3 linked regions of the Struthio camelus genome follow. The protein of the gene in region 1 purifies or fractionates together with the protein of each later gene. This does not show direct contact. Links are inferred from orthologs where the notes say so. Each region holds a gene or a part of one and is shown in the gene's direction. Other genes may lie near its edges.

The links.
Region 2: the proteins of RBPJ (region 1) and MAML1 purify together in Homo sapiens (co-immunoprecipitation; 12 studies listed by BioGRID and IntAct, counting the BioPlex papers as one, with this or other methods). This does not show direct contact. The link is inferred for Struthio camelus from reciprocal best matches to the Homo sapiens genes RBPJ and MAML1.
Region 3: the proteins of RBPJ (region 1) and RITA1 purify together in Homo sapiens (affinity purification with mass spectrometry; 4 studies listed by BioGRID and IntAct, with this or other methods). This does not show direct contact. The link is inferred for Struthio camelus from reciprocal best matches to the Homo sapiens genes RBPJ and RITA1.

The regions. Positions count from the first base shown.
Region 1 is NC_090945.1:66,786,797-66,794,744, reverse strand, and holds the start of RBPJ (recombining binding protein suppressor of hairless), read left to right. Parts: upstream 1-4,939; 5' UTR 4,940-4,954; coding exon 4,955-5,055; intron 5,056-7,460; exon of another isoform or gene 7,461-7,842; intron 7,843-7,948. UniProt on the Homo sapiens protein: Transcriptional regulator that plays a central role in Notch signaling, a signaling pathway involved in cell-cell communication that regulates a broad spectrum of cell-fate determinations.
Region 2 is NC_090954.1:6,929,646-6,937,215, forward strand, and holds the start of MAML1 (mastermind-like protein 1), read left to right. Parts: upstream 1-4,559; 5' UTR 4,560-4,684; coding exon 4,685-5,053; intron 5,054-7,570. Other genes in the region: CANX (calnexin), read left to right, coding at 353-406. UniProt on the Homo sapiens protein: Acts as a transcriptional coactivator for NOTCH proteins. Has been shown to amplify NOTCH-induced transcription of HES1. Enhances phosphorylation and proteolytic turnover of the NOTCH intracellular domain in the nucleus through interaction with CDK8.
Region 3 is NC_090958.1:7,134,026-7,141,280, reverse strand, and holds the start of RITA1 (RBPJ-interacting and tubulin-associated protein 1), read left to right. Parts: upstream 1-4,244; 5' UTR 4,245-4,291; intron 4,292-5,322; 5' UTR 5,323-5,371; coding exon 5,372-5,652; intron 5,653-6,305; coding exon 6,306-6,849; 3' UTR 6,850-7,255. Other genes in the region: ATP-dependent RNA helicase DDX54, read right to left, coding at 1-105, 392-487, 1,040-1,081, 1,544-1,593, 2,055-2,243, 2,374-2,444, 2,563-2,686, 4,106-4,174. UniProt on the Homo sapiens protein: Tubulin-binding protein that acts as a negative regulator of Notch signaling pathway.

The DNA.
Region 1 (7,948 bases):
TTTAAAAGACATATTATGAGTTATCTTTTAGAAGACTGAACTAGGGATGGGACTCATTGTGCACAGAATAGATACAGGGTACTTTATACAAATGGGTGCAGACGGGCCTGTTGTCCTCTAATCTTTCTCCAAGTCAGCTAGATGTGAGGCAGTTGCCAAACTAGAAGCCAGATAGCAGTGTTAGCTAGTGCCCTGCCCAAAGGAATGAGCATAGGTCAAGCCCAGAGCCAGTGCCGAGCTGGAGAAAGTTTGGTCCAAACTGGTTGAACAAGCTGTTGAAATTGTGATCCCTTTTATTACAGCCTGCACCCAGTGCTCCCTGTTCCCATCTGCCATTTCTTCCCAGAGCTGTGCTGCTTGGGCTCAGCCAGGCAGCTCCTTCTCTACCATCTGATATGCAAAACTCAGGGCCAAAAGACCTGCTCCCTGTCCATATGGAGGGCTTGTTGCTATGCTGTGTGTCTTTCCTCCTCTTTCCACCCTCAGATCCTGAGAGGATGAGGTCACCATATGAATTCTCAGGTGAAGCTGCTGGAATCCACTTAGCAGGGAGCACAGACAGAGGGACCTGGGTCCGTCCACACCTGTAGGTGTTAGTGAACCCAAAGAAGCAGGAAGTGACCCCATCCCACAGAGTTTACAAAATGAAAGTAAAATTTCCTTACTTAATCGCCTTCAGTTTTCACAGGCAACTAATGATTCTGAGCACCCAACTGGAGTTACTTAGCAAAGCATCAGCTGAAAAGAGGGAACAGACTCAATGCTTGCTGAAATCAGGTCCTTCAAAGGTACCTCCAAGCTTTGTTTCTCCTAATCATTTTTGAAATGATAGGCCTGACTCAGAACGCTTCCCCTGGCTTCGGCAGGGCTTAAATAACTTTGTTTTAAACAGTCCAACCAGTGATCTGTGTAATAAGTACAAACTTCTAAAATGTGCAAACCTTGTATTTAAATTTGCTCTTACACCTCAACTCTGGAAGTATTTACCGTTCTCTACAGATCCGAAAGTGGGACCTGGTTCCTTGAGGTACTAAATGCTTTCGGTTGCCACTGAAGACAACAGAAATGGAGCACTCTGTACTATGGGATATAAAGTCTTTGAGCAACAAGAAGAAAATTCAGTGCCCGAACACTGGTTAAAAACCCTTTCAGTTTTTTTTTCATCTTTCCTTCTGCCAGACACTCACATAATTTCAGGCCATTGTCTTTTACTTGAATAGTATTCCTGACCTTTTGCACTGCAGATTGTTTATAATTAAAACGAAAAAAAAATTCAATAGTTATTTGTTTTATATTGTACCTCTGTCAGAGATGGAAGGAAGTACAATAGTTTCTGTAATCATTAATTCTTCGAAATAATATACTTTCTCCAGGATCCAATTAATTTTGTTATTAATCAAAACGTTTTCTTGGTAAAATATTAAAAGAAGTCTAGACACTGCATATTATTGTGTGCTATATTTTTAGATTTTCCAGTTTGATTCAAAACACACTAAAAGAGGGCCCCTAGAAAATGACCATCTAGAGAGAGTCTATGGCAAAAATCCAGAAACCATTCTTAATGGAATGGAACTAGCACGAGCTGAGATCATTCTTTAGCCTTGGAAAAAAAAAAAAAGATGTTTTTAGGAAGAGATTTCCAAAGGGATTATGATTTGCTCTCCACAAACAATACAGAGGATTTCCAGTATGCATTGTGCTTTTGATGAGAAGTGAGCCTATGAAGGAACCAATCAAAATCCTTTTATAACTAATGAGGAGGGGGAAATCACGATGGGAGAAGTGCCCTTAATGACAGCAAACAATAGGTGTTTGTACAGTGAGCAGTTACAGCAAACTTTGTGGTCAAGCAATCTCTTAAAACATGAGTTTACTCATCTGAGACATTATTCTTCATTGAATTAATATTAGCAGTAGAGAGAATACTTAAGAAAGAAACATCAAATCATATGAATGGAATTTCATAAAAAGTTATCTTTTTTCTTCATTTGGGAGACAGCAGAGGCACTAAGGTGAGGTAATAAAAATGACACAGCTTTCGGGAATCTTTGTGAATCGTCAGAACAATATTGTGTTTGTGTTTGAAGTTAGATTGATGATAGTAGACACAGAAAGAGGAAGTTGAACAGAGAGACAGGATAGAATCCTTGATGTAAAGGGATTAATTTTCAAACATAGTACCTATTGGACAATCAGACTTTGACCTTGAAATGATCATGTTCTGAAATTGATTCAAAATCCAGATTTTCTCTTAATGTCAAATGTTGGACCATATCCAGATAATTTTATACTTTCTCATTACCATGCCTACCTCCAGAGCTCTACTTGAGAGGTCATTACAAGGGTCATTTTATTGGCTGAACAGAGTCTAATGGACTCAAAAATTTGTATTTACTGGACAAATGTTCCTTAGCTATTTTGTGTGTGAAAGACAACAAAATTATGAAGATATACTTTTCAATTAAAGCCATTTAAAAGTGAAACATTATTTACATTTGCAAAAACTAACAGATCTTTCTAATCACGGTGCCTTTCCAGGCACCAAAATTTCTCCTTTTCCAATTCCCTTGAGTCTTTGAGCTTTGTATGAACTAATTTTTAAACTAAACTCAGCTAACAGGAACAATAAAAATATTTGGTCTGCACTTGTAGAGGATACAGCTATTAAAAGCAATGATATGGGTTCCCTCCAGTCAGTGGTTTGGACCTTCTTTAAAACTTGGGTAGGAAACACTCACTGCTAAACACTATCAAGTTGCGTTTATTTTTATATCATTTAAAGGATGTTGGACAGAGCCGGCATTAAACGTTATTGCCCAAACTTCCACAGTAACTTGAATTTTTTAAAGAAAATTCATTCTATATTGGAGAAAACGGGCTGCCTCGTAGACCCTAATCGCTACCCTCGGCCCCCCTCTGCTGAGGGCGGCCGGAGCCCAGCTGGGGCAGGCACCTGGGGCAGGCAGCGGGCTGAAGGCGGCGAGCCGAGCCGCGCCGCGCCGCGGCGGGGCGGGGCGGGGCGGGGTAGGGCGGGGCGGCTCCTCAGAGCAGCGGCGCGCGGCGGGGGGCGGGGCGGTTGTAACGGCCGGCGCGGGCAGCCGTTAACGGCCGGCCGGGGACGGCCGCGCGGCCCCCAGGGAACCGGCGGGGCTGCCCATGGGTTCGGCCCCCGGAAGCCACCAGGCGGGCGGCCCCCAGGCTGACTGACACGGACTTCCCACGCGGACGCCTCGTCTGCTCCTCGCGGAGGAGGAGGAGGAGGAGGAGGAGGAGGAGGAGGAGGGGGCGGCCGCAACTTCCCCCGCCGGCAGCTCCGGCGCGGGGGCTAGGGCCGGCGAGCTGGCCTCTCCCGGGCAGACCCGCCGTCGCCCCTGCGCCGCGCTCGGGCAACGACCTCTCTCCTCCCCTCCCTGCCCCGAGTGGTTTCTTCCGCCGCTGCTCGACCTCCCCCCGCATTGGTCTAGTCCTCCCCCCGCCGACTCGGGAAGACTCAGAAGCGGGACTCACAGGCAGACGCCGGGCAGAGGGAATCCCCCTTCCCTCCCCTGGCTCGGCTCTCGCGAGAGCTGCCGGCTGGCCGGCGGGGCTGGTGCCGTGCTCTCGCGAGATCCGCCCGGTTCCCACGCCTGCCACTGTTGTGTCTGAGGGGAGAGCCCAGGCGGTGAGTGGGCGGCGCGCGCCGCGCCCCCGCCCGGCTCCGCGTGTGTCTCACGAGCTGGCGCACGCGCGCTCCTCGCGCGGAGAGGGGGGCGCTCTCGCGAGAGTAGGAGTTTTGGCGAGAGTTTGTGGAAGATGGCGCCTGTTGTGACAGGGTAAGTGCGGGGGGTTCGCAGCGGCGCGCCGGGAGCGATCTGTTTCTGGGGGTGCCGGAGCGCCGGCCGCGCCGTCCCGCTCCCTCGGCCCCGCTGCCCCCGCTCCGAGGAAGAGAAGGCTCCTCTCCGGACAGCCCGGGGAGCCCTGAGGCACAAACCCCGGGGGGCTGGGGTCCCCCCGGGTGGGCGCACGGCAGAAGGCCCCCCTGCCCTGCCCTGCTCCAGGCGGCGGGCGGCCCGGCTCCCCGGCGGCTCCCCGCGGCGGGCGGCCCGGCAGGACTGGCCGCTTCCCCTTCTCCCCTTGTCTCCGGCACGGGCGGACCGGTCGGAACACCGTGCTGGGTCAGCGCTCATCCCCTCCGCCCCGGCGGAGTCCCTGTCTGCGGGCGGGCTAGCAGCGGAGCCCGGCAGGGAGAGGGACCCGCGGCCGGCACAGGCCCTTCTCCTGCCCCCTTCGCCGCCGCCCCGGCTTATCCTGCCGCAGGCGCGAGCCCCCGGGCCCCCTCGGCCACAGACCGCGAGCGGTCGGACAAAGGCTGCCGCTTTTGCGGTTGCGAGAAGTTGAGCTCTGTCTTCTTGCGTTGTCTCAGCCCCTTCGCGTAGCGGAGGCTGGCTGGAGGCCCCTTGCCCTCAACGTTGCCGGAGCTCCCGGATCGCTGTGAAGTGCTTTAGGTCGCGCTTGGTGCGAGCAGGCTTTGCAGTCTTGCTAGCAAGGCACCCGTTCCCTCAGGTCGAGGGACTGAAGTTCCCCTTCTCTCCTGCCCCCACCCTGTTCACCGTTCCCTGGGCTTTGGTGAGTTTTGTTAGTTGCCTTCCTACTAGTATTGCGTCGCACTGAAGGGTAGCAGCCTCCCCACCCCGCTAAGCCACGGTGGATCATAACGAATGATAGTTGCCATCCCTTTCAGCCACACTGGGTAATACTTAATCATGGCTAGCCAGCTGCAAAGTGTGTCACTGTAATAAGTGGCACCCTCCTAGCCACCTACAGCAGATGAATGATAACAGATTTGCTGCTGGTATACAGTACACAGTCTCACCTGCTGTGTTACATTGCGTATTGCTAGCCTTGCCACTTCTTGAATTCTGCCGCCTAGTATAAGTGCCCCCCCCCACCAGGCCTTAATTTTGGGCTACAGTGAATGCTTGTGACCTCCCTCTGTGTATTCAGGGAAGAGGCAGTCAGGAGAAGAGCGGGACATGTCTCCACTCCACCTGTTTGTTCCAAACAAAATCCTGATTGGTGAAAATATTGCTGTGTCCTTCTAAAATGTGGACCTAATTTGATGATTTTGCAGTGTGTCTGTGACCTTCTGTCTTCCCTGTGGGATTACATTGTCTTCAGCATTGGCTGTGTGGTTAGAGAGAGCAACAGCCTGCTTGGGGGTGGGGTGGAGTTGGTGGTTGATGCTTTTGTTCTCATGAAGAAGGTAGCATTATGGTATTTTGTTGTTTTATTTGGCCACAGTAGTGTTTCCAGTTCTTTTCTCTTGTTTGTCAAAAAACGAAAATCAAGCTTTTGCTTGATTTCTGTCCTGATAAAGGCATCTTGTGGCTCCTACACGTTTTCCTAATTAAATGTTCTTTAGGGAAGCGGGTCTTGTTTGTTATGGTTCCTGGAGCGTACAGTTTTAGAGGTTAGAGTGGAAAGAATGAAACAAATGCTTTTAAAGCTTTCTCTAAGTCTGTGCTCTAGTTAAGGATTAAATTTTTCCGGGTTTCTGTTCACTTACTCATCTGAATATGTGGACTCAGTTCCTTTCATTTATTGATTGTAAGAGGTTTGTGAAAAGTGATCTCAGGTCTATGACACTACTTTTATGCTGCTCAGAGATATGTTCAAGTGTTGAGAATGACCACTCGTGTGTTGTTTTTTTTAGTGAAGGACCAAATAATTTGGTAGAAAAATATAACATTTAACAAGAGTGAAAAAAATTGTCTATAGTTTAGGATTTAAATGCTGACGTTATTACTCAAAACTGTAAGTTGAGTAATTCTCTGAAAAAGTAGTCACATTGTTTTCTTATGATTAAGTATTTTAAGCTTTGGTAAAAACAGAAAATCTGTTAAGATTGATTAATGTTTATACTTGTATTGCATCAAGGAGCATAAGTTTTTATTTATGCTCCATTTTTGAAGTTCAGCTCTGATACTGAGTTGTTTGTGTATATTGGGATTAAAATTTGATGATAGTTCAGTAATGCATTTTTTTCACAAAATATAGTAGTCAGTAAAGACGTGCTTCTTTCCTAGACTTTTTCTAAAAAAAAATTAGAAGACTTCTAGTCTTTTTTTCTTTCTGTAAAAGCTGTGAATTGCATAGGAAGAGATTTGAAATTTAATTTAAAATTTAAAAAGCTGTAACTGAAGAACATCGTATCCAAATACTACATTCTATTTTAATGAGTGGCTTCCAAATCTTATAGGTGCTGAAACTTTGAGATAAAGCGTATGGCTTTTCTGTAGTCAGTGTAAGCTGAATGTACAAGCACATTTTTCCTGTAAAAATTGTATGCCTAAAAGTAAATTATGGTACATAGCGCAACCCTATTTTGGAATGAAATGGTAAGAATTCACTATGTGAATTGTCTTTCTGGGGGAGTCAGCGTTCTTTACCAGTTTCATATTTGCAGCATATTGTACGCTTCTTGTATCACGAAGAATGTTTGCATGTACAGTATTATGATTGAACCTAAATTTTCCGGTGGCAGAACTAGGTATAATGAGAAACTACAGAGAAACATGAAACAAGTCACTGAAAATGAACTGTTCACCTTTTTTTTTTTTTTTTTTTTTTTTTTGAAAAGGAAGTGGATAATTTACGCCTGGAATAATAGGATAGTATTTTGGGTTGCTATGGAGTATTTTTGTTTTTGCTTGTGAATGATTTAGGGAAACTCATCATTTTAAGACTACAGAATTATTGAAGATGTTATTTAACTAGAGATGCATATTTCCAGTATGAAACATTTTGTTTTAAATAAGTACTAGTACTATGGAAATACCTATGGGCCTCAGATTGAAAATCATTATGCTAGGCCTAATACAACCATATAACAGAAAGAATTTCCACTCCGAAGAACTTACTGTTATTTAAAATGAGGTGAAACGCAGAATGGTGTCTTCTGTGTCTCACTCTGTAGTCTCAGGCGACTTCGACGGGTTGAGACACTCTGTAGTCTCAGACAATACTAAAAAATGGTGCAGGAAGCAATTACGCAAAATCCTTGCAAAGATTCCTATGCCAGTGAACAAGTAAACAAAATTTAGAAAGTGTAAATAAAAATGGTGAATGCTAGACATAACTTTGAGTGTTTGGTTACCAGTGAAAGTTTTTATAGTAGCAGTATACAAGATAATATTTGGATTATTTTTCAAGAGGATTGAGAAGCCCTGGGAAAGAAAAAAACCAACTAAATGGTCTTATCGCACTGGTGTGATGTTTTCCATAGGCTCAGTAAGGCAGAAAATGTATGCGTGTGTTTTAATAAGACTTGTCAAAGTATCAGACTCTTTAAGCTATGTGTCTGAATTAGTCATGCCAAAGTTCTGTGGTTAAGAGGTGTTTCCTGAGCTTACAATTTAAGGGTAAAAGAAAGCACATTGGATCTATGATGATACAGGAGTATATTTGGTACCAGTGCAGTGAATTTTATCATAGTGGTAGTGATCTAGGCGTGCCAGCCATCTGGTTGTTTTGTATCTTTGTTTTTAGTGAGAACTTCTGAAAAACTGTTAGGAGGTTTTTGAGAGAAGATGGTACTGCTTTGTGGATGCTTGCATGGAGCTCTCCCAGTTATGAAGGCAGCACAAGAGAAGTATGGTGATGAAGACATAACAAACAAGTTACCAAAGCTTGCACCTCTTTGAAGACACAGTTCTGCATCTGGATTAATAATTTTAGGATGGAAATTTTGGTTAGACGTGAAAGTCATTGTAATAGCAGTATACGAGATAGTATCTGGATTATTTTTCAAACAGATTGAAAAGCTCTGAAAAAGACAAAACCAACTAAATGGGTTTATCACTGGTATGATGTTTTCCATACTCAGTAACGTAGAAAATGCATGCATGTGTTTTAGTAACATTTGTGAAAATATCAGACTAGTATCGGAGTAGGATGGGAAGTGAAAGGG
Region 2 (7,570 bases), on another chromosome or scaffold:
GGCTTATTCAGCTTTGTATGCAGTCAGGATATGACCTTTTAAGTGTTCCACGCTGACGTAATGGCTAACTTAAAAAGGGTTGGAATGCTTCTTATCTGAAACTTAAGGTATTCTCACAGCAGCAGATGCTATTAAACACCATTTGCGAATAATGGACATCCACTGTGAAAAGCAGAGGATTCATCTGTTGGCATGTATGGAAAGGAGGGGGTAATAACAGCAGTAGGTTCTTTCAGGAGTTACTTTCATTTCTGCATTAGAATTTAAGTTGTTTGTAGATTCCCCCCATCTCTTTTTAAGAGTACTCTTGGATTAGATTTCCTTGCTGCTGACACAAATTACTTTCTTGCAGGAGGAGGAGACTGTGAATAGATCACCCAGAAACAGAAAGCCAAGGAAAGATTGAAAGAAAAAAAAATCATAAGAACTTGATCTGTAATTTTTTTTTTCCAAACTTGGTTCTGGGAGAGGACCTTGGACACCTTACATTGAAACTTGGACAAACCTCAAGATCTCACCATGCACAGGTTCTGGTTACGCTATCCAATGTAATGGAGTGTCTAGCAGTAAAATCTTGCAATCATCTGTTTTAAAAGAACATCATTCCTGTAGAAAGAATACATTTAATGTAATGGGCTGTGGATTTTGGAATGTAACATAACTAACCTTTTCATTTTGGTTTTAAATACTTTTTTTGTTTTTAAGTAGATTGGTAGAATTTTGCCAGTCTCAAACCATGGCTTAATTTAATATATTAAACTAGTGAAAAATAATGATGAAAATCTTGAAAAATGCTAGATGTTAAAAGTGCAGTTTTATAACTAGTTTTTTTTACAAACATGTAAATTCCTAAATGCACCAGTGTCTTTATATCCCTTAAAGTTTGATAATTATGGTTAAAGAAAAGTTGTCAATATACCTGACAACCCCTTTTCCCCTCAAAGGAAAAAAACTGGGAGCAGGGTGGGATGCGTGAGGGAAAACTAGCAGGTAAAGTTTGTAATCAACTCTGTTCTTGGGGGGGAGGGGGGGGAAAAAGAAGGGGTGGAAGGAAGGAGTTAGACAGTCTTAGGGACTATGAGCATTGTCCTGGTTAAAGCCCACTTAAGTGTTGACGAATGATCTAGGATTTGGAATAGGGGAATAGGTCATCTTAATGTGGCGTGTAATCCTGCAGAAATTGGATTTTGTTAGTCCTTGAACTCTTCCCATAAAGCTGAAGGGTTATTGGGGGTATTTAGACTATTTTTCCTTTTCCCCTCTGTTCAGCCACTGCTCTCCTTTCTTTGTGACTGTGCAGCTTTTTCCGAGTGCAGCTTTGCCTCAATTGCTGAGAAGTATGTCATGTTCAGCTCCTTGTTAGACTTTCCATAGCTAGGCCTACTCCTTTCCAGGGTCCGAACACTGGATAGGACAGTGTCCCATATCCTCTCACTGCTATCACTGTGTGTCTGCTCCTGTAGAAACAGGAGAGGTGGTCAGGTAGGCAAGTTGAACTGAATTTCTAAGAAAAATCAAACACAAACAAGATGTCAGTATTTGTAGGTGGGGAAGGAGCATGTGGAATATCTTACCTGGTATGTGAAACTGTTTGAGTCTTTTTATCTGCTATTCATGTAACAAACGCATCCTAAATTATATTGTGAATGTTAGGGAGTTCCAATTCCAGCTGAATAAATTTTTAAGTGTTGAGTCTACAATATTATACTGTTTCAAACACTTTTTTTGTGGAATGCAGGTGATCACTACAAGAGCATACCTCTGAGGGTGGAATCTGTGTAGCTTCATTACACTGTACCAAATATGCTGGAGTTTGGATGTCCATATAGAAAGCTTTTTTTGCCTTTGTTTAGAGTGAATTAAATGTCCTAAAATTACTCTTCTTGCACTGAATATAAACACTCCAGTGTTGTTTGGGCTAGGTCATAGGTATTGTGTGGGGAATAACTCCCGGGGGTGGGGGAGGAAAGTGTTCTGATTACCTTGCAGACTAACCAGTTACTAAAAGATTTGTTTTTTGGGTTTTTTTTTTTGTGAAACACCTTTTGCTGCCTGTCCTCATGTTGTATCCTTTACTTGTTGTGTTGGAAATACTAGACACCACAAATGCATAACAGGATTTCTTGCTCTTTCTGCAGTGTGCAAATAAACTATTGTAAGCAAGATACTGGAAGTAATTTCAGACTTCTGTTGGGAGCTATTGCATGTTTAGAATGCCTTTTGCCTGTTGAACACCTGGTAAATACTGCTCCTTTTTGCCAAAATAGCTTATACTCTGACATGGAAGATGTCATAGCTTAAGCATTGCTACTAGCTTGTTCTCAGGACTGTATTTTTATCAAGGAGCAGCTGCTATTTATGACTCTCAGTCCTTGGAGATGGAGTATATGTGAATGGTTTCAAGTCAGCTAACAATTCTGAGCACAACATAAATCTGTTAATCTAATCAGTGTTTTTTATCTTAATATGCAAATTGCCTTAAATTCCTGGACAGTTCTTGTGCGTACATGTTCCTTTCAAAGCATCAAAAATGAACTTAAGATCTGCTCTCAGCTTTTTGAGTAGTATTATAGTAAAGCTAACTATGTACACCTACGTTTGCTTGTGCTAGATTTTCTGAAAAGGTCTCCTGTCTGCATGTTATGCATTTTTTGATACCTTAGTGTATGCTTCTTGAGTAATCACTACAATAAATGAAGACTTTCCAAAGTGGATAGACAACTTAAAGGTTACTTTTTATCCTGCATTCTCACTTGGGTGGCTCAATTTAACATTAGAATCGCCTTTTTTTTTTTTTAATTCCTTGGAGCAAAAGTAGCTATCTCTTTATTCAGAATAAAGAATGCCTGTAAAGCATGGCAGCGTTTTCCAAGTACTGCAGCTCTGCTTGGTTGCTACCTGTGAGCTAGGTTTGAAACACCTTCAAGTATGCGAAGGTGTATTTGACTGTGTGGGGGGGTGCGCGTGTGTGTGTGAGGGCTGCAGCTGCTGGAGAGCATGAACTCCCAGAAGTTGAACTTGCTGTGTCTGGGGTGAGGGAGGGGTTTTAGGCTGAGATTAATCAAGAAGGAACAAACATCAAGTGTGCTTATGGGCAGTTAGATATCTGGAATACAGGATACTAGAAATGCTGAAGCCTTTTCTTTTTTTTTCTTTTTTTTTTGTCCTGGAACCTGGTGCTCAGTGAAGGGAGTTGGTGCCTACTAACCTGCTCTAGAAATATAACCAAATAGGAGCTGTCCTTGCAGCTCTGATAATGCTGAATTATCACAGCTCGAGAATGTGGGCTGTACAATGTGCTGAGACTGTCTGTGTCGGGTTGGGATCCTCGCAGGAGCCAAGTGCTCGTGGAGGGGTCTGGGGTTGTGGTTGTCCCTCGCTTTCTGTTCTCCTTCTGCCAAAGCAGCGCTCCCCTTACCTGGTGGTGGCACAGGCAGGGCTGTTGCCAGGAGTCTCCGCATCCTCAAGCCTTTCCTCGTTAATCTGTAGTTGCCAATATTGCCTCAAGGTTTCAAAAAAAAAAAAAAAAAAGCAATGAAAAAACCTTGGTGTTCGTAAACAAGGACTGTGACTTCTTCTGTGCAAAAGACCTGTCCATTTCAAAAAGGTCACTGTAGATGCAGTATGCATATATTAAAACCTGAATAAATTATAATGTAAAATTAATCAATAAAGAAACTGAAATCGCTTTGGCTGCCTCGTCTAATTAGCTTGAAGGGGCTTAAGTCTTGATCGCGTTTGTTGGTTTTTTTTGACGGGAACAAGTTGTGATTGGGACCCAGCTGTCCACAAGCCCTGAAGAAAAGGGGGGGAGGGAAAGAGAGAGAGGTTACAGCTGCCTGCTCGGGGCAGGGGCGCGGGGAGGGCGTCGCTGCCCCGCTCTGTCCGGGCGAGGGGGCGCCCGGCCGGGGGGGGGGGAGCGCCCGTCACTCACTCCTCAGGCCCCGCCCACGGCGCGCGCCATTGGCCTCTCTCCAAGCCCCGCCCCCGCCGCTTCCCGGCCCCTGCCTTTTAAACGCGCCGTCGGCCGCGTCCTGCCGGCCGCCTTGCCCGCCCACGCCTCCGCGCTCCCCCCCGCCCTCCCATTGGCTGGCGGCGATGTCCCTCAGCGCTCGTGACGCGCGACGCGAGCGTGACGTCGCCCGCCACCCAGGAAGCTCCGCCTATTTATTCTCAACTCGGCTCTTGAGGGGAAAAACAATTTCAAGATGGCGGCGGCGCGGATAACAATGGGGAGTCGGGGGTTCGGGCCGGCCCGCGCCTGAGAGCAGCGGCCGCCGGGCCCCGCCGCGCCCGGGGCAGCGGAGCGGGCCGCGGCCGGGCCGGAGGGCGAGCGGGCAACGGCCGCTGCGCAGCGCAGCGCCGGCGGAGGGGGAGCGGCGCCGCCGCACCGGCCTCGGGGGAGAAGGAGGAAGTGGGGCGGGGGGGACGCCGCGGGGAGCGGGCCGGCGTCGGGGCCGGGGCCGGGGCGGGGGCGCGGTGGGCGGGCGGGCGGGCGGGCGAGCCCAGGTAAGGCCGGCGGCGAAGGGGGCGGGCGGCGAGGCCGGGCAAGGCCCGAGGGGGGGAGCCCCGCGCCCGCCCTGCGCGGCGCCCCCGCCATGGCGGGGGGCGGCGTGAGGAGCCGGTGAGCGGCGGCAGCGGCGGCCTCCCCCCACACCACCCCCCCCCCCTTGCGCTCCGGTCCATGGTGCTGCCCCCTTGCCCCATGGCGGAGTTCGTGGTGCCGCGGCACAGCGCGGTGATGGAGCGGCTCCGCCGGCGCATCGAGCTCTGCCGGCGGCACCACAGCGCCTGCGAGTCCCGCTACCAGGCCGTATCGCCGGAGCGCCTGGAGCTGGAGCGCCAGCAAACCTTCGCCCTGCACCAGCGCTGCCTGCAGGCCAAGGCCAAGCGGGCCGGCAAGCACCGGCAGCCTCCCCCGCCGCCGCTGCCGCCGCCCGCGCCCCCTCCGCCGCCCGCCGCCGCCGGCAGCGCCGAGAGGAGCGGGGCCAACGGGCTGGACGCCGAGGCGGCGGGCGGCGAGCAGCACGGCCGCAGCAGCACGCTCATCGCGGTAAGCCGGGGCCGGGGGAGGCGGCGGGCGGGCGGGCCGGGGCCGGGGCCGGCCGGGCCGAGCGGCCGTGCCTGCGCGGGTGCCGCTTAGCAGCCGGCACGGGCTGCTTTATTTTCCCTCCTGTCATCTCTGCGCGCTGGAAGAGTGCGCAGAAAACGGTCTGATGAGGAGGAAGCGGGGGGGGGGGGGAAAGAACTTGCATGCCTCTTTTTGCCACTGTTAGGGCCGTTCCGAGCGGCTTTCTGTGCAGCCTGCTGAGTTGTGGTTCTGGCTATTTCACCGAAATTGTCTCTGGAGGAACTGTCAGGGGAACACTAGTACTGCGAGGCCTATGGGATTTTTGTTTGTTTTGTTTGTGCCTTAGTTTAGGCTGTGGGAGTTTAGCGGGATCGCTGCATGAGGACACTTTTTTTTTTTTTTTTTTACTGATACATATATTTTGGATAATGTCTCCACTAATTCTGCTGCATACTGGAAAGAATTTTAGTGGAATGGTATTGGAAGGGCAGCTGCTTATTTGCCGCTCCGTAGTGGGTGTGAACACTACGGGAATCCCACTCCACCCATTAAAAAACTGGCTTAACCCAAAGTCTTCATGTTTCTCTGGCTTCTCTAGCATTTCTAGTTGTCAGGATATATTCATACAGCTGTGTTTGTATATTAAGATAGCTATTGCCTATTGCTTAACTTACTCTGTGCCCTTTAAAGGTACTAGGCTATACTAATGTGTCGGTAATGTAGGTTAGTAGGATAACCTCACAGAGGTTGCCCGCTTTCTTTCACGAAAGCAGGTATTTCTGCATGGTGACCTGCCTGAAAATGATACAATGCTGCTGTTTTGAACGCCTTGAAAACGTGGTGCTGGCATTAATATGATACGTTTTCAAGTTAACATATACGTTAAATCATGTTTTTAAGATGGCCTATGTGTTTTGAGTTTTTGAGCATGATCAAATTGGAACAGAAGAAGGGAGGCTGTGATTCTCTACTGTCTTGGATCTCACTTGGCTGCAGACTTTAAAATAGTATCACAGTAGCACTTACTGTGTGCTTGTACTGTACATGATGTGGGGCACGCTGATGTCAGCTTTAACGTAACTAGCGCTAGACAAGCATGTGCGTGGTTTGTAATATATGCAATGTGAAATGAAAGTGTTTGGCCGAATTGCTTCTGTTGGTAACATACCTATGAGAATCTAGGACATGCAGGCTTTTCTGAAGACTGGAATCCTTGTGATATCGTTATAGCGCTCATACAATAGAGAAAGAAAAGTCTCGGAGGAAGAGCGTACAGTGATTCTGTAATGCTTTCTGGGTACCTGTTGTTTGGTAGGCCGATCTTGAGTGTAAATTGTGTCAGAACTCAGATGACTCAAACTCATGTTTTGTTACCCGAAGACTTGATGGAATTTCTGTTTGCTTCCTTTCTGGGCTCTGAGTTTTTTTTTGTGTATGGGGCTCTAACCATTAATAATGTGTATTTTTGTTATACACACACAGAGTTCTTTAAGCAACAGGATTTGACACGTTAAACTGCCACCATGCTGCTTCAAATTGATTGATTCTCTAAAAGAAAGATATCTCTGATTCATTGGTGGCATTTCTTCCAAATTGCTTTGGATGTGGATTTGATCTCATTAGCATCCATTATAATGAGGACTCTCAGCAGCAGTGTGGTTTTGAAATACAGTGCACATCTGGGGAAGCCCTTCTTGTGCAGGAAGCTGCTGCCAGTGGCCAATTTACACAACAGAAGAGGATTTTAGTGTATGAATGACTCTTCCTCGTGCTGGCCTGCTGTTTCCTTCCTAGGATACATGACTGTAAGCTTAATTGCAGTTGCTGATTCATCATCTCGTTACTAGGGTATAAAGTTGGTAATTCAAGTTTGGAAAAAAAAAAATAGCACAACGACAACAAACCTCTGCTGCTAATTTCATTCCTTTAGGATAAAGGGTTCCTCTCTAACCCAGAAGTTGATGTTTTACCACTAGCAATCATGTAACTGTTGTCAAGACTAAGCATGTGCTGCTGTGTGTAGGGGAAGGACGTGGATATGGTTTACAGTGTTCAGTAAACTTCTGGATTACCACCAAAATTATCTTGTTTTTAAAATATCCTGGGCACATTCCTTTCAAAAGAATGCTACTGGGACAATTAAACTTGCATTGTATCAATAGTCCTATTATAACAGCACTATTGCTGCTGTTATGATCAGGAGTTTTCCATAAAGCTCCATGTGAATCTTCTCTTAGAAACTAGTGCTCTGTATTGGACGCTAACGAAGCACTTATTTTGGTCTTTCAGAGAGAAAGCAGTTTGTGTAAATAAAGATATGTGAGCTGCCAAATGATCTAGCATCTGATGGCTTGCAGCGGAAGGACCTGAAGCTACACTTGCAGCAAGTGTCATACAGTGCCCAGTGTATGCACTCCCTGTTGCTCTACTTGGCAGCTTCAGACTAGCTGGGGGAACAGGATGAGCACCACCGCTTCCTTTATAGCATGTTATATGATT
Region 3 (7,255 bases), on another chromosome or scaffold:
ACGAGCAGCTTAGGCAGTGTGGCCGAGAAGAGGACCGTCTGATGGCTCTCAGGGAGCCGAGCGATGATCTCCTGGAGCTGCTCTGCAAAGCCCATCTCGAACAGCCTGCAGGACAGGGAACGCGGGACATCAGAGCGCTGGCATCTCCTGCCATGCCCAGCCCTGCCTCCTGGCACCTGCCAGCACCACCCAGCCAAGGCACCTCATTCCTTCCGCACACCTCCTGCCCTCCGCGTCTCCCACCCCCTGCAAGGGCTCGTTGCTCACTCCAAACATGGGGCACACAGCTCCCCCGAGTCCACAGTCCAGCCACTTTCATCCCAGCGAGCACGTTACTGGAAAGGCAGTGCCCAGCAGGCCCCGCTCTGCCCCGGCACTGGCCCTCGCTGACCTGTCGGCCTCGTCGAACACCACGTACTCCACACTCTGCAGCTTCAGATTCATTTCCACCGCCACGTGCATCAGGCGCCCCGGGGTGGCGATGATTCTGCAAGGAACAGAGACCGCAATGCTCGGCCGGTCCGTACCTCAGCCATGAGACGAGCGTGGGGAAGCAGGATGGGACACCTCCCTCCCAGGTGCCAGAGCACAAGTCTGGCTCAAAGACAACCAGACAGAAACTCCCTGGTTCCATGCAAGGAACACAGGAAGACACTCTGAAGAAAGCCTAGGACATGGCCATGGGATGTGATTGTAAACGCCAGAGACATCTCTAGTGACCTCCTTCATGATGCCAATCCCCGGGTGGCACAGCCAGAAGGGCAGAATTCAGCCTGTGTTTGGATGGCACCAGGAGCAGGGCCAGCTAGCTCGCAGGGCTCGAGTCAGGACCGCTGGGGCCACACCAGGCCATCAGCAGCAGGGTAGTGGGTAACCCAAGGGACATCATGGGGGTCCCAGGGAGGCAGCACCCTTTCCAGGTCCAGCAGCTGGTCCCAGGATCACCCCAACACGGTGCGCGTCCAGCGTTTGTCAGCACACGTTTCCTCGCCACATCAGCAGGGAAGCGCAGACCCTTCCAGATACCCCAGAGACTCACATGTCGGGGTTCTCGTGCAGCGCAGCAAACTGGTCCTCCATCCTGCGAGAGGGGAGAGAGCCTGAGACGGGGCCAGGCGGCAGAGGGGCAGCTCAGCCCGCCTGCCTTCGCAAGGCCTCCCCGGGCAAGCCACTGGGGACTGCAGAGCTGGGGGCCAGCCCAGGGCATGGGGCGAAGGCCAGATCCTTCCAGGCCACACTTTGCATGCTCGAGGCTGCGGAGAGGGACCCACTGCACAGGAGAGCTCCTCAGCCCTGAGATCTCACGCGTGAGCAAGTGAGTAGCTCTTTTGATGGCCAGCTGAAACTTCAGACCATCTAGCCCAGGAACCCTGCTCCAGATGCCACTGTGATGCCCAGTCCCAACATCTGGCAGATTTTTGCAGCCCTCAGCACATTTTAGGGAAGCTGGGACAGGCCAAGTGCCTGCAGAAAGCCTCGGGAGGGCTGCCTGGGCTTTAGGGGAAGGGCAGAAACACTGGTAGGGGCACTGGGGATGACTTACTTGTCTCCTCCCAGGACAAGGGCTGTCTTCAAGCCTGTGAACTTGCCCAACTGCAGGGTAAGGGAGAAACACGGGAGAATTACAAGCAGATTCGGCCTCAAAACAAATCCCTAGGCTGTTCCCTTCCAATGCCAGCAAACAGCCCTGCTGCCAAGGCTGGGGACGCAGCAGAGCAGGCAGGTGATGAGGGCACCAACGCAACGTGTTTTCCTTCTGCCTGCTCTTCCCTCCTCCCTTCGTGGATTAGCTTGAACCTCTAAGAAAGGGGTTGGCCATGCACGGCAGCCACAAGTCATATCCCGGCACTGCACAGATCCCCCCGGCAAAGGACAGCGCTTGATCATCATCAGCAGCACTAAGAGATAAAGATGTCCTTCACCCTTTGGTGATAATTCAACATCATCTGCTGCAGCATGGAGCCCCACAGGTTAATGGTACCGCTCGAGCTCTTGCCTCCCCTGCCCTCCATCCCTCCATCCCAGCTCAGCCAGCACCACCTCCGTCCCGGTACCTCCTTGGTGAACTTCATGGTCTGCAGGGCCAGCTCGCGGGTGGGCGAGAGGACAAGGGCTCGGGCCCCCGTCTGGGCACTGTGGGCCTTCAGCTTCTCAAACATGGGGATGAGGAAACAGGCCGTCTTCCCGCTGCCCGTCCGTGCCATCGCCACCACGTCCTTGCCGTTGAGGATCACCGGGATGGTCTGCAAGACACAGCCCAGCGGCGCTGCCCTCACCACCCAGCACCGCCGCCTGGAGCGGGCACCCCACGTGGGCAGCACCCATCGCCCCGGAGGCCCTCGGTCCAGTGCCCCGTGCCCCGAGGGGGCTCACCTTCCTCTGGATGGGTGTGGGCACCTTGTAGCCCTTCTTCATGATCCCCTTGAAGACAGGGTAGCTCAGGCCTGGAGAAGACAGGGGTTAGCAGGTGACGGAGCAACACAAGCAGGACAGGGCCCCGTGGAGCAGACTCGGCACGGCCCCGTTTCCAAGGGTCCCCCACCCCCAGCCCCCAACACGTACCCATGGACTGGAAGCCTCCGGATTTCTTCTTCTTCTTGTTCTGGGCCCGTACCATGGCCTGGGTGTCCAGCTCAGCAGTGGCCTCCTCGGCAGCGGGGAAGGCCGGCAGCGCGCACCCGGGGGCCTGCGGAGGGAACGGCACCGTGGGGAGGGGCGCGGGCGGCCAGGCGCCCCAACAGCATGGGGGGACAGCAGCTCTGGGGACGCTGGCGCTGGGGATGCTGGCACTGGGGACAGCAGGTATACTGGGCACCAGGGACCCCGGGGACACGGGGTCACCGAGGACATAGGGGACTGGGGATATGGGCAACTGGGGTCACTGGGCACATGGGGGACTGGTGACATGGGGGAGTGGGGTCACTGGGCACACAGGGGATTGGGGACACTGGGCACACGGGAGACTAGGGACATGGGGGATTGGGGTCACCGGGGACATGGGGCACACAGGGGACTGGGCACACAGGGCATATGAGGGATTGGGGACACGGTGGACTGGGGACATGGGGGATTGGGGTCACCGGGGACACGGGGGGCTGGGGACATGGGGGACTGGGGACATGGGGGACTGGGGACACCGAGGACATGGGGGAGTGGGGACATGGGGGAGTGGGGTCACCGGGGACACGGGGGACTGGGGACATGGGGGACTGGGGTCACTGAGGACATGGGGGACTGGGGACACGGGGGACTGGGGACACGGGGGGCTGGGGACATGGGGGGCTGGGGTCACTGGGCACAGAGGGAACTGGGGATATGGGGGACTGGGGTCACCGAGGACACGGGGGACTGGGGACATGGGGGATTGGGGACATGGGGCACGGGGCACATGGGGGATTGGGGACATGGGGCACTGGGCACACGTGGCACATGGGGGATTGGGGACATGGGGGATTGGGGACATGGGGCACATGGGGGATTGGGGACATGGGGGAGTGGGGACATGGGGCACGGGGCACATGGGGGAGTGGGGACATGGGGCACTGGGCACACGGGGCACATGGGGGATTGGGGACATGGGGGAGTGGGGACATGGGGCACGGGGCACACGTGGCACATGGGGGATTGGGGACATGGGGGATTGGGGACATGGGGCACATGGGGGATTGGGGACATGGGGGAGTGGGGACATGGGGCACGGGGCACATGGGGGAGTGGGGACATGGGGCACTGGGCACACGGGGCACATGGGGGATTGGGGACATGGGGGAGTGGGGACATGGGGCACTGGGCACACGTGGCACATGGGGGATTGGGGACATGGGGGAGTGGGGACATGGGGCACTGAGGTCACTGGACACACGGGAGACTGGAGAGATGGGGGACTGGGGTCACCGAGGACACGGGGGACTGGGCACATGGGGGAGTGGGGACATGGGGCACTGGGGTCACTGGACACAGGGGGGACTGGGGAGATGGGGGACCCTGGGGACCCTGGGGACATGGGGGACTGGGGTCACTGAGCACACGGGACCCCGGGCAGACGGGGCACCGGGGACCGCAGGCCCCCTGGGACCAGGCGCACCGACCCCCCCCGTCCCCCTACCGGCGGCGCCCGGCGCTGCTCCCCGGGGCCGGGCCGCTCCCGCTGGCGGCGGGCGCGCGGCGGCGCCATGTCGACGGCGGCGGCGGCGGCGGAAGCACGCGGCGAGGCCCCGCCCCGGCGGCAGCACGTGGGCGGCGGGGGCGGGGCGGAAGGGGCGGGGCTCGCGCGGCCCCGCGCCCGGGCCAGGTGGGGGCGGGGGGGTCCGGGGAGGGGCAGAGGGATTGAGGGGGATGTGGGGGGGGAGTGTGGGGGGCCAGGGGGTGGGGGGATGCGGGGGGCAGTTTGGGGGGGCAGGGGGATTTGGGGGATGTGGGGTGGGCAGAGGGTTGGAGGGGGCTATGGGGGCAGTTTAGGGGGCAAGGGAGATTTGGGGGGATGTGGGGGGACAGTTTGGGGTGGGCAGGGGGATTTGGGGCATGTAGGGTGGCAGTTTGGGATGGGCAGGGGGTTTGGGGGGATGTGATGTGGCACTTTGAGATGGTGGGGGGATGTGGGGATGTGGGGTGGCAGTTTGGGGGGCAGGGGAGATTTGGGGGGATGTGGGGCGACAATATGAGGTGATCAGGGGGATTTGGGGGATGTGGGGTGACAGTTTTGGGGGGGCAGGGGAGATTTGGGGGGATGTAGGGTGACAATATGAGGTGATCGGGGGATTTGGGGGATGTGGGGTGGCAGTTTGGGGGGAATAGGGGATTTGGGGGATGTGGGGCGACAATATGAGGTGATCAGGGGGATTTGGGGGATGTGGGCTGGCAGTTTGGGGGGAATAGGGGATTTGGGAGATGTGGGGTGACAATATGAGGTGATCAGGGGGATTTGGGGGATGTGGGGTGGCAGTTTTGGGGGGGATAGGGGATTTGGGAGATGTGGGGTGACAATATGAGGTGATCAGGGGGATTTGGGGGATGTGGGGTGGCAGTTTGGGGGGCAGGGGAGATTTGGGGGGATGTGGGGTGGCAGTTTGGGGGGCAGGGGGGATTTGGGGGATGTGAGGTGGCATTTTGGGGAGCGGGGGGCAGTGACGGGGGCGAGTGGGGGCAGGGCTGATGCGGGGCAGGGCTGCAGCGAGCTGGTGGCAGGGGCAGCCGGGGCCGAGGGCCGGGCCGGCGCGGGCAGGGCCCCGATGCCCCCCCGCCAGCGAGGCCCTTCTCGGCAGCCCCCGGGGATCTCCTTTCCCTCATCCCTCTAATCCGCTGTCTTGCCCCGATGGCCTGCAGTCGCGTGACCGCTCGCCGATGCCCTCAGCCGGACGCCGCCCCGCCGGCCATGAACGCGGCCGTCGCCAGCAGCCCGGCTCCTCGGCTGCAGCCCCGGAGCCGCTGCAGGGGGAAGGCCCGGCCGTCCTTCGTGGACGAGACGCTGTTCGGCAGCCCCGGCAGGGCTCGGCCGGCGCCGCCGGACTTCGCGCCTCCCTGGGCGGACGAGGCCGGCCCCGCCAGGCCCTTGGTGTGGAGCCCGCCCGCGGCCGGGGCCAGGTGGAAAGCGGAGGCCGCCGCACCCGCCGCCTGCACGCCGCAGGGCACCCCCAGGAAAAGGAACAAGTACAGGTGAGTGGCCTCTTTCCTCTCCCGCTGGAAACCCTGCGGCACCTACGGCTGGGACTGGCGGGGGTGAGGGAGCCCGTCCGCGTCCCTGCGCCGGCCTTCAGAGCGGCTCCCGGGAACGCGGGGCAGGAGATGGTCCGGCTGTGTACCCTGACTCGCTATCTCCGTGTATGTCGAGTACTGCTGCAGTTTTCCCCTCTGCAAGCTGTCCGGAGAGCCTCTGATGCCCAGGCATCCCAGATTTTCCCTTTTTCCCTGATGTTTCCTCCTATATAGAGGAGTTTTCCCCAGAGGAGGGGATTTTCTGAAGTGTTTTAGGCATCAGTAGACTCGTGTTGCTGAGATGCAGTCCCAGAGAGCCCGCTGGGCTAGTAAACCTGGTGCCCCTTTCTGTAACCAGCAGCTCAGGAAAAGCAATACAGCAAACCCTATCTGTCCGCTTTTCTCCAGTCCAAATGATCAGGAGCCTGTTTACAGCCCAGCTGGCCCTAAGCGGCCCTTGGGAGGGGCTGGAGTGGGGTTTAGCCTCAGCAGCTGATCCAGAGCAAGGAGCAAAGATTTGCCCCCTTTGGATTCCACGTGGCAGTTAGGCCTCTGCTGCTGTCTTTTCCCACCTTAATATGAACATGCTTTTCTCTGCTTTTTTCCCTGCAAAGGTTGAAAAGTCACACTCCATCCTATTGCGATGAGTCCCTGTTTGGCACCAAGCCTGAGGATCCGTCCTGGGCAGCTTCTTGGATGAAGAGAGAAGATGTAGCCAAACTTCGTCCACTGCTCTGGAGCCCGTCATCCGCCCCCCGAAACCAGTCAAGCCTTTCCTCCCGCTCCAAGGAGACGCCCTTGAGGGCTGTCCACCCACGAGCCTCAGCATCGCCAGCGCTAGCAAACCTTGGCACAGATCATAAGGGCGAGTCTTACATCTGGAAACGGCCTGAGAGCAATTCGGACTCTGAAGGCCGGAGTGCTCCCAACAGAGGACGTTCTCAGTCTCTCACTCGGCTGAACGCCTCTCCGGATAGCCTCCGACTGGCTTCAGGCAACCCCAAGACAGAAAAGCATAAAAATCAGTGCCCCTCAACAGCCCCTGCAACACCCCGAGGTCCTCTGATGAGGGTTCGGTCTAAGAGCGTGTCTGCACCTTGTTTTGCCAGGAACTCCAAGGCAGTGGGTATCTGCAAACCCAGGCCTCCCTGGAAGTAAAATGAACGTCCCTTTGTATGTAAATGCACCCCTAACCTACCCACGACAGGGGTCTGACACCCATTGAGCAAACAAGGGAAGGAGCTGTCAGGGAGCAGCGAGAAGGGGACTGCTCCACGAGGGAGGACGAGCCAGGAGCTGAGAGTGACCACAGCATCAACGCGGCAGTGAGTGACCTCCCTGAGCGGGGTACAGTCCCATGGCACCCAAGCAGGACAGCCGTGGCAGTAATAACAGCTTTCATTGCCTGTCCAGGGATCATCAGATGAGGTGAGGTAATGAGTCAGGTTGCTTCCGTCCAGGACGTCCAGTCAGGACAGCCAGGAGACAGGACTACCGACAGCATAGGTGCAGGGCCCAGCCAGGAGACAGGACCGGACACAGGTACACCTACAGTGTAGCCCAG